Linked DNA regions of Arabidopsis thaliana. The protein of the gene in region 2 interacts with the protein of the main gene of each other region in a pairwise test. Each region holds a gene or a part of one and is shown on either strand. Other genes may lie near its edges. The genes, in order: AGL78, AGL97, AGL90 and AGL89.

Evidence for each region.
Region 1: the proteins of AGL97 (region 2) and AGL78 interact in a two-hybrid assay, tested with the Arabidopsis thaliana proteins (one large-scale study listed by BioGRID).
Region 3: the proteins of AGL97 (region 2) and AGL90 interact in a two-hybrid assay, tested with the Arabidopsis thaliana proteins (one large-scale study listed by BioGRID).
Region 4: the proteins of AGL97 (region 2) and AGL89 interact in a two-hybrid assay, tested with the Arabidopsis thaliana proteins (one large-scale study listed by BioGRID).

The regions. Positions count from the first base shown.
Region 1 is NC_003076.8:26,108,491-26,111,903, forward strand, and holds AGL78 (AGAMOUS-like 78), read left to right. Parts: upstream 1-1,835; coding exon 1,836-2,861; 3' UTR 2,862-2,913; downstream 2,914-3,413. Other genes in the region: AT5G65320 (basic helix-loop-helix (bHLH) DNA-binding superfamily protein), read right to left, coding at 1-150.
Region 2 is NC_003070.9:17,231,635-17,234,612, reverse strand, and holds AGL97 (AGAMOUS-like 97), read left to right. Parts: upstream 1-1,661; 5' UTR 1,662-1,677; coding exon 1,678-2,478; downstream 2,479-2,978. UniProt on the Arabidopsis thaliana protein: Putative transcription factor.
Region 3 is NC_003076.8:9,991,185-9,994,623, reverse strand, and holds AGL90 (AGAMOUS-like 90), read left to right. Parts: upstream 1-1,853; coding exon 1,854-2,510; intron 2,511-2,633; coding exon 2,634-2,939; downstream 2,940-3,439. UniProt on the Arabidopsis thaliana protein: Probable transcription factor.
Region 4 is NC_003076.8:9,734,910-9,737,822, forward strand, and holds AGL89 (AGAMOUS-like 89), read left to right. Parts: upstream 1-1,615; 5' UTR 1,616-1,741; coding exon 1,742-2,413; downstream 2,414-2,913. Other genes in the region: CDC20.5 (cell division cycle 20.2, cofactor of APC complex-like protein), read right to left, coding at 1-1,339.

The DNA.
Region 1 (3,413 bases), on a different chromosome or scaffold from region 2:
TGAATAAGAAGAGGACGAAATGGAATTTTGCTGTGACGCCACGTCTTCAGAGTTCGAAACGACGATGTTTTGAAAGTAATCCAACATTTCGTAACTTAAGGATGTTTCCACGAGTGAAAAGCCATGAGGGTAATCTTGTTGGAACATCATATATAGCCTCTCTCTCTCTCAACCAAACGAGCACAAAAAGAAATGAAGGAGTTAATGCATAAAAGTTAATGGCTACGTTATCTTTTACACAAAGTAATGTTTATGCGTGTATTTATAATGGGGTCTTGTTGGTTTGTTTTAATTTATTAATCTTTGGAGGACTTTAATAATCAAATTTTCACGACGTTTATGTAAGAAATGAAGCCCTAGCTCTGAAGAGATCAACCATTTGATTAATTTTAACCCGATTTTACGCAATAAATTAAGAAACGAATGCAATAAATTCTTAATACTAAGATCAACAATTAGTTTATAACTTTATATTTTACCCGATTTTACGCTTTATATATCGTCATGAAATCTCTCATGTTTGACTAAGGGGTATTTTTTATACCATGGACTTTTTGCTCAAAACCTCAGTTACAAATAGAAATAAAAACTCTTACAATTGATGGAAAACAATCTATAGGGAGTTTATTTATTTATTGACTGCAATCAAATATACTATCAAATAAAGAAAATTGGATTATGAAATGAATCTAAAGGGATACTTCAGCAACAGATCCCACATAACATAATCCAATAAGAACGTTCAGAGATATACACAACAAATAAGAATGTTAACTTTCATGATCGCAAAACAAATCTTAATACTTTACCATTCAAGTAATATATTTAATGAGGCATAAACAATTTATATTTCTTTGTGATTGCCAATCACAATGTCGTTTTATATGATTGGTACATTTCATCTAACAAAGAAACGAGTCTATTTGTGAGTTGAAAATTCGTGATTTGTGGTTCACTATTGGATCGTCGTTATCAATCTGACATTAATTGTACCCTATTATATATATTGTTGTGTCTATAATAAGGCAAGCTGGTTACTACATTTGTCGACTTCCACATTCCCAATTATTGTGTATTTTCTTGACTAGCTAATACATATATAACAAGAATTAATCTTCCACAATATGAATTGTGATGCGTTTACAGTGGTAATTTTGCAATAAACAGAGTGAGTATATATATACCCTTCGAACATTTAGTTTTAATTATTTGAAGAGTGTTTTTATGTTAGTTATTTTTCACAACATTCTGATTGGAGAAACAATTTATAGATTTTTGAAAACCCTTAATTAACAACTATAACGTAAAAAAAAATTTGAAAAAAAAAGAAAAAAAAAAAGATAGAAGAAACCTAGAAATAAAATGAGTTGAAATCTTTCTTCAATTTTTTGAAAACCCTTAATTAACAATTAAGAGTTTTTTTCTTAGAGACAGATTTTCCTTTTTCCTCCAAGTTTTTGTTGCACAATTAATAATTACACAATCAAATCTATAGTATTTTTTTAATTAGATCTTAATTTTGTACAGCCTAAAATAAAGTACCATCGAGAAACTAATTAAAAGTTTCCTTTTTTTTTGGTCTCTACCATCGAGACATTAATTAAGGAAATCTACATTAGATATTGGAAATCGAATCGAATCGTAGGAGCGTAGATCTTCACGCCTCGCGATTAACAACGACGCGTCGCGTTTGCTTGTTCCCGTAGGCACCAAGGCATCTATATAAACATATTGAGTTCACAATGTTTCACCCTCAATTCGACAATACTTCTTCTTCGTGTGTTCTCTCTCTCGGAAAAAACCCTAGTTTCTTGCCGAATCAAGGCAAAGTCACGATGAAGCAAGCTTCTTCTTCTTCTTCGTCACGTAATTCAACAAGTTTAACAAATAGACTTAAAACCATCTTCAAGAAAGCTGAAGAGCTTTCGATTCTCTGTGCTATTGAGGTTTGCGTCATCTATTACGGACCAGACGGTGAACTGAGAACATGGCCTAAGGAGAGAGAGACAGTGAAAGACATGGCTTTGAGGTATAAAGAGGCCAGAAAACGCAAGAAGAGCCGCAATCTTCATGAGTTCCTCGAGAAGGAGAAGGACAAGGACAAGGGGAAGACGAATTTGAAGAAGAATTGGTATCCAAACTTTGATCATTACTCTCCTCAACAACTCTCTCAATTGATTCAGTCCTTAGAACGGACTCTTTCTACTCTGCAAGAAAGGCTTCGTATTGTTGAGGCGCAGAAACTACAGAACACAAACTTGGTGCATCAGAGTTTAACACCATCGTATCTGAACCAGACCCAACACTTGAATCCTAGCAAGTTCTCGCTGTTTATGTACAACCATGGAGATGCTACTCTCTCACAACTCCCACTGTCTGCTCCACACTCCAATCAACTCATCAATTACCAGAATCACTTGATGCAGCATGGTTTTGGTCAGAACATGTGTTCGGACAACATCACCAACAACAACTTTGAACATCCTGGCGTGTCAAACACACAAGACTACTCACCGTTACTTTCGGTACAAGCATCTGCAGTGAATAACTACGGGTTGAATAATCACTTGATGCAGCAACAGGATCAGCTTCATGGTTTTGATCAGAACATGTGTATGGTGAGTGAAATCATCAACAACAACAACGGTCTACAACATCCTAATCTCTCAAACACGGTTCCACATGAATTCTCTTCTGATTTCAACCAGAACCCTTATGGTAATGCGGTCGGTAACATTAGCTTCTCTCAAGACATGTTTTCAAGCTATGATGCGAGCAGTCTGCTACAGACATCTTCTCTGCCACCTCTCCACAACATTCCTAGCAGTTATTGTTTTCCTGGCAACTCAAGACTTCTCTGATAACAAAATCTGTCCAAAAGAATTTGTTTTTTTGAAGCTTCATTAAGAGTCAGTCAATAGTTAAGTAGCAAGCGGATCGGAGAGAGATTGAAGCTGTTTCTGCTTCCGATTTCTTCTGTTACTGTTTTTTTTAATATTTTATAGTGTCATTATAACTGCAAAACAAATCCATTTGTTTTTTTTTTTTGTTAAGAAAACAAATCCATTTGTGGAGATTTTGTTTTTACTTTTAAGTTGATACTTTTTTCAGTTAGTATTGACATATATATATGAACTTCCATAAAAAATCTTTCACAAAAACTTGCATGAAACAAATTATAATCTTAAAACCTTAATTCTTGCAACTTAGTATCCTTCTTGTCTGAATCAACTAATATATACAAGGAGATGGAGAGTGGATCTGAGTTCGTGAAGCCTCTAGACTTTTTGCAGAAGAAGAATCTCTGTGTAGTTTCTGAGTAATGGTATGAGGAAGAAGATAAAGATTGAGCTGATTGAATATCTGCAATTAAACTAGCCCTTGTGTTTTATCAAGAAAGTCGATATCACATT
Region 2 (2,978 bases):
TAATAACAAAGATGAACAATGTGGATTTTGCCAGAATATTTATGGCTGTGAGCTTGTTTCTTCAAGAAGTCTCTACCTTTTAACTTCTCAAAAATCAAGTTTCTTAAACAAGTCTTCAATGCTGAGGATGTCACAGAAGAAGTCTTCAACAAACCTGTAGCCATGTTTTGATCACAGAAGAATCAGTACTTATATGTTTCTAATTGATACAAGATTCTTCTCCAGCAAAACCCTGATTTCTTCTTCCAAATCTCACTTGTTCTTCTTTCAGAATCTTCCATACGAATCTTTGATTCTGTTGTAATTCTCACAATCTCTCTATTTCTCACACTCCTTTACGGTTTCATTGTCTTTAGAGAGAAAGAACAAAAACTATTTTCTTTTAATCTTCTACTTTGATAATATTCTTGGATACTCTTACACAACACAAACAACACATACATATAGTGGTTTTGCTCCACTTGGTAGACTACACACACTTAGACTCTAGACCACATCATTGTCCTAAGACTTACATCATCCACTCTACTATGTTGGAACTCCAACACCTTAATTCACTCTCTTAGTTTACTTTAGTTGTCACAACCTCTTCTTGTTGGACCTTAACTAGACAACTTGTACAAAACACTTATTCGTATGGGCCTTATCTCATTACCTATGACCCAACACACAAAACACAAACCCATTTGGTTTGTTGACTTTCTTCTCTTCCTTTGACTCCTCTCTTCACGACGTCTCTTCTCCGCCATCGTCTTCTTCTTCCGTTGCTTCTTCCTTTGTTCTTCATCTTCTTCTTCTCACCAAGCTTGTTATTCTTGTAGGATTTAGTTTAGGATACTCAATTCCAACAGATTCTCGTAATCTCCATATCTAGATCCTCTTCCGAATCCGTAATCACCAATTCACCATTATCAACCAAAAGCTTGAGTTTTTGTTGTGTATCGGACATTGATTCACCAGCATAAAACAGAGATTCCATACTAGGGTTTGAGATTGTATTCTTCAATACTGTGTCGTCTTCTTCTTCCTCACAAAGTTTGCAATTTTGGTTTTTGGATTCGTAACGGTCACAAAGAGAAGAAGAGAGGCTCCTAAATATTTTGTTGTATTGACGCTTTTACCCTTCATAACGGTCTTATTTTATTGACCGTTGACCAAACCGGTTAAAGGAAGAATTTGCATGTTGGTTTACTCGTCCTCCTTCGCTTATTAGACAATCAGTAGTAAACAAATTCACCGACTAAACCAAAAATTCCACTAAATACAGATTCGGTTTAACTAAACCGGTCTTTGTTTGTATTAGATGGTTTTGAGTAATTTACTTTTAGAAAAGGAAACAGTTTTAATTTTTCGTTTAATTACCGATTAGGGTATTATCAGTAAAAAAGGAAATCAAAATCGATGTTGTTTCAGGTGGTTTTGTGTACTAATTACTTTCAAAAAAGGAAAACAAGTTTATTTAGTCGTTTAATTACTGATTAGCAATTATCAGAAAAAGGAAATAACATGGATTAATTAGAAAACGAGTTAGGGCTACTAAGTCTATATATATATCTATCTGATTAGAACGAGAGTGAGTCCATTATCATATTCTTCTTTCGCAACAAGCGGCAGCACACAAAACTCTCAAGTCTTGTCTCGTTCTCTTTTGTTTGTGAAACTGAGAAAAAAAACAGAATGGGTGGCGTGAAGAGGAAGATTGCTATAGAGAAGATACAGAACAAAAATCCACGAGCGGTTTCATTCTCCAAACGTCGTAAGGGTCTGTATAGCAAAGCTTCTGAACTTTGTCTTCTCTCGGACGCAGAGATTGCGATCATAGCGACTCCTGTTTCTTCTAATTCCAACGCCGCTTTCTACAGTTTTGGCCACTCCTCTGTTGATAATGTCGTCGCTGCTTTTCTCGCCAATCAGCGTCCTTGTGATGAAAGGTTTTGGTGGGAAGATGAGAGTCTTCTAAAATCAGAGAATCTGGAGGAGTTGAGAGAGGCGATGGATTCAATGTCGACTATGTTGCGAGATCTCAAGGAGTTGGAGAAGCAAAGAGATCATCAAACGCAAACCCTAATTCATCAGCCGTGTTCTGCAAGGGTTTGCATTCAAGATTATGTAACTGTGAATTTCGATGGGTTTAACACGGAAGAGCAAACCCTAGCGGTTTCTGACAATAGTAACAACAACGGTTTACTTGGAAACTTGGATGAGTGCAATGAAGATTTTGATGATCTCGATCAAATCTTCGATACGGTGACAAACTCTGAATTTTTATCGGTGAATTTGGAGATGGATGATGTAACTGTGAATTCTGAAGGGAACACGGAAGAGCAAACCCTAGCGGTTTCTGACAATAGCAACAACAACGGTTTACTTGGAAACTTGGATGAGTGCAATGAAGATTTTGATGATCTCGATCAAATCATTGAGTATTTGACAAGCTCTGAAGCTTTATCCATGAATTTAAAGATGGATGATGTCTGATGCATGCCTCTATGGTGACAATTTGTGTTTATGTTGAAATTGGATCCTTGATTTAAGTATTGCTTCGGTTTAGTATATCTTTGTATGTCTTTTATCAGCTTATGACTTTATTTGATCTGCGTGATATTTTCGTATATCTAACCAAAACATAAGAGCATCCCCAACCACAATACACCAAATTTTAACACCAAATTTGATATTTTGGTGTTTCAATTGTTTTATCATCTCCAACCATAACACCAATTTCACACTAAAAATATTACTTTTTATTATAATATTATTAAACTTAAGATTTTCTTTATTTTTTTAATAGTTTGATATACATAACATATTTCATAACTAAATTATTTTAACTTAATTAATATAAGATTACAATCGATAAATTGAAAATAACAAAAAAAAATTACATTGTACTAATTCTCAGAATTAGTATATACGGACCACAAGTGTTCAATTAATGCATTTCGAAGTTTAATATGAGCTTCACGGTCTTTGATTTT
Region 3 (3,439 bases), on a different chromosome or scaffold from region 2:
TTAAACTCTTGATTTTATCCTTATATGTAGTCCATTTTTAAAAATACTCATTCTCTTGAGCAAAAATACCAAATTACTCTCATCTAATGAGAACAAGTAATTTATAAACTGAAATTTTCCCGCTAAAAGTTTTTTTTCCCGCCAAAGTTTTTTCTCTGTAACAAATTTTTTTCCAGCTAAAAACATGCATTTAAAAATCCTTATAAAGTGTTTTAAAAGCTTTGTAAATTTGTTAAAAACCCTTGTGAATCATTTTAAAACCTATTAAAATCTTTATAAAGTTTTTAAATATATATGTAAATACTTAAAAACCCATTTTAAAACCTTTGTTTTACATTTTAAAACCTTTTACAATGATTTTAAAAGATTTACAAGAATTTTTAAAGGATTTAAAAGGATTTTAAAAACATTTGTAAATCTTTTAAAAACCCTTGTAAATCCTTTAAAACCCTTGTAAACAATTTAAAAATCTTTTAAAACCCCTTAATAAATTTTGAACCATTTTAAAACTCTTATGAACCTCTTACAAAATATTTTAAAAACCCTTGTAAGTCCTTTAAAACCCTTGTAAACCATTAAAAATCTTTTCAATTTCTTGTAAACCCTTTAATAATTTTTAAACCATTTTAAAATTCTTTAAAAATATTTTAAAATTCTTTTAAAAATCTTTTTTAATCTTTTAAAAACCCTTGTAAATCTTTTAAAACCTTTTTAAAATGTTTTAAAATCACTTGTAAATCTTTTAAAACCCTTTAAAAATATTTTAAAATCTTTTGTAAATCTTTTAAAAACCTTTTACACTTTATAAAAATCTCTTAAAATCCCTAATCTTTTAAAACTCTTTTACACCTTTTTTAAAAATCTTTTAAAATCCCTTGTAAATCTTTTAAAACCCTTTAAAATCTCATTTCAAAAATCTCTTAAAATCCTTTATAATTTTTTTTTGCGGAAAAAATGTTTTTAAGAAACCTTTTTGGCAGAAAAGTTTTTTTTAAAATTTTTTGGCCGGAAACTTTTGGCGGAAAATTTATTTTCAGAATATTTTTGGCGGGAAAAAATTAATATTTCATTTTTTACTTAAAACATTTTCTAAATAGGGGTAAAATGGTCATTAAAAATTAAGAGAAAGTATAAATGAAAATAACAAATAAGAAAATGCATTATTGAAAAGGATAGTGTTGAAAGGGCATTCATAACAATTATTCAAAGTTTTTGGCGTTTATGTGAGATGTTCTTTGCATATTTTCAAATTGTTTGCCCATTCTAAAAATTTATTTGTATGATTCAAAGTACATCTTTAAATTACTGTAGATAACAAACTTTCTGAAATTTACTTTAGATAACAAACTTTAGAGTAATTTCTAGCTTACCACAATTCTATATACATTGACAATATATTACTGTATTTTAAAAGTACAATCACTTAAAACTATTACAAAACTTCACATTCTAAGAACAAAGTAAGCTAGAAATTATTCTTAGTAAAAAAAAACAATGAGAGTAAGAGAAATTAATTCTTAGTATAAACAAAACTTAGAAATAAAAATATTATATTACATGCCCCCTCATATTACATGGATAGATTTTTTTCTTTTTTTTGTCATCAGATATTATTTAGGATCAGACGAGCCAAACTTTAGATAAGAAAAAATATTTTTATATAGATAATAATGAATTACCTGGTCAATTAATTGATAAGAGATTTCCTGGATGTTATTTAGAATTAATGAGTCCACCAAAGTGATAAGAATCCTAGTGACTATAAAATCATCTTTCTTTGCTATATAAACATTCTTTGAGTAAACAAATTAAACAAACCACACAAAACAAAACAAAAAAACATATTGATGGGGATGAAGAAGGTAAAGCTATCTTTGATAGCTAATGAAAGATCAAGGAAAACATCCTTCATGAAGAGGAAAAACGGGATATTCAAGAAACTCCACGAGTTGTCAACTCTATGTGGTGTCCAAGCTTGTGCTCTCATCTATAGTCCATTCATACCGGTTCCAGAGTCATGGCCGTCAAGGGAAGGTGCTAAAAAGGTAGCTTCAAAGTTTCTGGAGATGCCGCGGACAGCCCGAACCAGGAAGATGATGGATCAAGAAACCCATCTTATGGAGAGGATTACCAAAGCAAAAGAGCAACTAAAGAATTTGGCTGCTGAGAACCGAGAATTACAGGTTAGACGATTTATGTTTGATTGTGTTGAAGGCAAAATGTCCCAGTATCGTTATGATGCAAAAGACCTTCAAGATTTGCTATCTTGTATGAATCTATATCTCGATCAGCTTAACGGAAGGATCGAGTCCATTAAAGAAAACGGTGAGTCGTTGTTGTCTTCCGTCTCTCCTTTTCCTACTAGAATTGGTGTTGACGAAATTGGTGATGAGTCGTTTTCCGACTCTCCTATTCATTCTACAACTAGGGTTGTAGATACTCCTAATGCTACCAATCCTCATGTTCTTGCGGGCGATATGACTCCTTTTCTTGATGCGGACGCAAATGCGGTAACTGCTCCCAGTCGATTTTCTGATCATATTCAATATGAAAATATGAATATGAGTCAAAATCTGCATGAACCGTTTCAACACCTTGTTCCTACTAACGTTTGTGATTTTTATCAAAATCAGAATATGAATCAGGTTCAATACCAGGCTCCTAATAATCTGTTTAATCAGATTCAACGAGAATTCTACAACATAAATTTGAATCTGAATTTGAATCTGAATTCAAATCAGTATCTGAATCAACAACAATCATTCATGAATCCGATGGTGGAACAACATATGAATCATGTTGGAGGGCGTGAAAGCATTCCTTTCGTGGACAGAAACTACTACAACTACAATCAACTACCAGCCGTTGATCTTGCTTCCACCAGTTACATGCCTTCAACCACCGATGTTTATGATCCTTACATCAACAACAATCTCTAATCACAAAAGACGGAGATTTTCTAGTCTAAGTGTTCAGTTGTTTGAATTTGTGTTTTCTTCATTTCGAAAGACAAAAACTAATGTTGTTTATTAATAATGGTTGTAATGGTTAAAGGGTCTCTTTTTAACTTAATTATGTATTTTGATTATTAAGTAATGTTTTGCCCAAAAAAAAAAGATTATTGTGGGAAACTTTAACTGTGGAATTTATTTCGAAAATTTAATGTGTGATTGGTACAATATTTAGACGAAAGTTTTCATTTGAATTCTTTTAGGACCCATACGTAGAGAATAATTGTTTTCCCCAGCAATTTGAAGTAAGAAATATTATTCTTTGAATCAATTATGGATTTACCATTTTTTGGGATGGTATCTGTGGATTTTGCCCTTTTCTGAATAGTTTGTAGATTTTGCCTTTTTCACACTACGAAAATATGATTTAACATGTGTTTTATTCGTTATGTTTGGGTTTAGTCGGTTGTGCTTGTTCTTAGGATTTA
Region 4 (2,913 bases), on a different chromosome or scaffold from region 2:
TCACATGAGCAAATGGATCCGTATATTTTTTTGAAGCAGCTTTCTTGGTGGTCTTAGGTGGTTCTCCAAAAACATTCCAAAGCCTGAGAGTCTCGTCACCGGCTGCAGAAGCCACGGTACAACCATCCGGACTCTGTGCCATAAAAAGAACTCTTGATGTATGACCATTGAGTTCAGCCATTTTCACCATAGATGGGTACTTCCAAAGTGTAAGCTGGTTCTGTGTAAACCCATGTGAGCTAAGCAACTCTCTTTCACTTTTGCTCCATAACAATGAACAAACTTGAGAGCCAGTTTCTACTGAATTCAAGCAAGCCCCAGTGTGTGTATTCCAGAACTTAATCTTCCCATCACCTACACCACCACCAGTTGCAAGCAAACTCGCTTGGAAAGGGCACCAAGCAAGAGCTCTCACTGCAGCTGTATGTTCCTCAAACCTATGCAGCCATTGCCTAGTTGGGTTTGAGGAAGCGACAGAACGATGATCCCAAATGTGTACTACATTGTCGTTACCACCACTTGCTAGTTTTTTTCCAGATTCTGACCACTTAAGACCACAAACCTCTTCTGTGTGACCCAAGTAAGTTTCAACAATAGATGATCTGATCCTCACATCATTGTTGACGATCTTTCCATCCATTCCTCCAGTTGTTAGAATGTGATTGTTCCATGCCAATGATCCTACTCTTGACTCGTGACCACCTCTCAGTGTTCTCACTTGACGATTGGAAACACAATCCCAAAGCTGGACTTCACTGTTGTCAAGACCAATTGCCAGATCAAGACCATCTTGCGTCCAGTTAATACTTGTGACAGGTCCCTCCTCTTCATCAATGGTCACAAGCTTATATGTAGAACCACTAGACGCATCCCACAAGTAAACAGTGTCTCCCAAAGCAATGGCTAAGACATTAGAACTGCCCCAATCCAACAAGTTAAGGTAGAAGTCATCCGCAATTCCAGGTGCATCCAAGACTCTCTCACTATTCTGAGGAATGTATCTACGAGGCTTTACGGATATAGGTTGTTGGTGAGGAGGATCAGAGTGATTACTAGAAAGCAGAGCTTTAGGTTTGTTTCTGAAAGCGAGAATCCGAGTGCGATTCTGATTCATAGCCTCAGCCAATTGCGTCATGTAGGCTTTTCTTGATGCTGAAGTTACCTCATCGACATTACGTTTTCTTCCTTGGGTAAGAGCGTAGTTAGCAAAGTCGAAATCCATGGCCGATCTATTCGGTATGAATCTGTCGAAGTTTTCCTTGGAAAGTTTCCGACGGAGAAAGTGTTCTACAAGTGGACACGAAGCTTGTGCCTTTAAATGTGAAGAAGTGTTCATCATAACTGTGATTAGAAGAAGACTAAACGAAATATGACAAAGAGACAAATAAAACCTGCGAAGAAGGAAACGTAAAGTAGATTCAAAGCAGAGAGACAGAGAGCGAATAGCGAATAGTGAAGGAAGATTGTGGCAATTTTAGGGTTTTTTGCTTTCTTTAATTCATTACATAGAAATTGTCAATTACGTACAACGGTTAGATATTAGTAAAATGGAAATCGGATCTAATTCAGATTTCCGTTAAAAATAAATAAAAGATTTTCATTACAGTTACTGAAGAAAAATGAAATAAATATGGAAATCGAATTTAACAAATTCAATATAAACCCTAATCCCAATTCTCTGACTTTATTTTCTCTTTGCAAGAAACTAAAGCTTCTTTCTTTCACCGTGTAAACAACAACAATGGATTCTTCAATGTCGACGAAGAAGAAAACCAAATTGTCTGTGAGAAACCAAACTTGTTTCAAGAAATCGTCTCTTTCTTCTTCTTCTACTGCAAAAAAGACCACGAATTTGTCTATGAGAGAAGAGACCATGTTTAAGAAAGCCTTGGAGCTTTCAACTCTGTGCGACATCGAAGTCTGTGTCATATATTATGGTCGTGACGGAGAACTCATCAAGACATGGCCGGAAGATCAATCCAAGGTTCGAGACATGGCTGAGAGGTTTAGCAAACTACACGAGAGAGAGCGACGCAAGAAAAGAACAAACCTTTCTCTGTTTCTACGTAAAAAGATCCTCGACGACAATAAATTGTCGGAGAAAGTCTTAGAGATGAAGGATTCGCTAGAAAGTGGTCTACGGGTATTACAAGATAAGCTTCTGTTACTCCAACCCGAGAACCAGACCGAGCTAGGTCAGAGCCGTGCGGTTTCTTCCACAACGAATCCATTGTCTTCTCCTGAGGATCATCATCATCAACAATGGACAGAACCATTGGTGACTGGTGTGTCAAACACAGAGCAAGACCTATCGACGTCACCATTGAGTAACCATCAGAGCAAATATTCAGTCTTTGTCTATAACCATGACAGCGGAAGCTTCTATCAAGTCCCTGACTCGATCTGTTTCTAGTTTAGATTATGAGTTTTAATTGTCTGATTAAGAGTTTGTGTTGAATTGTATGTTTTTCCTAAGTATTATCATTATGAATGCTATTCTCAATTCAATTTTTGTCTGAGTCAATTAGTTGGCTTTGTTGGATTTAGAAGCCAATGGTGAATTTCCAGATTACAATGCCTTGTGATTTTCCGATTAAAATTCTTCCAAGCCCTAACAATGGAGATTTGTTCAAGAGATCTCCTAACTCTCCTCTATGGTTTGTTACACACACATCAATACATGCATAACTTGTGCAATAACCTTCTATCTATTTATATACAACTCACTAGACTCTCAAGCTAGTGGTTAAACAATCTGTTTCTTCTTGCTCTGTTTTCACGTGCCTTCTCTGCTTCTCTTTGCTTATTCACGAGCCTCAACGAATCCGTTTGAGCTACCACACGTGCCTCCTAGCTTATCATAGGTCTTTTGATTCATGTTTGTACAAGCTTAAGTAAAGTGTATCCGGAGGA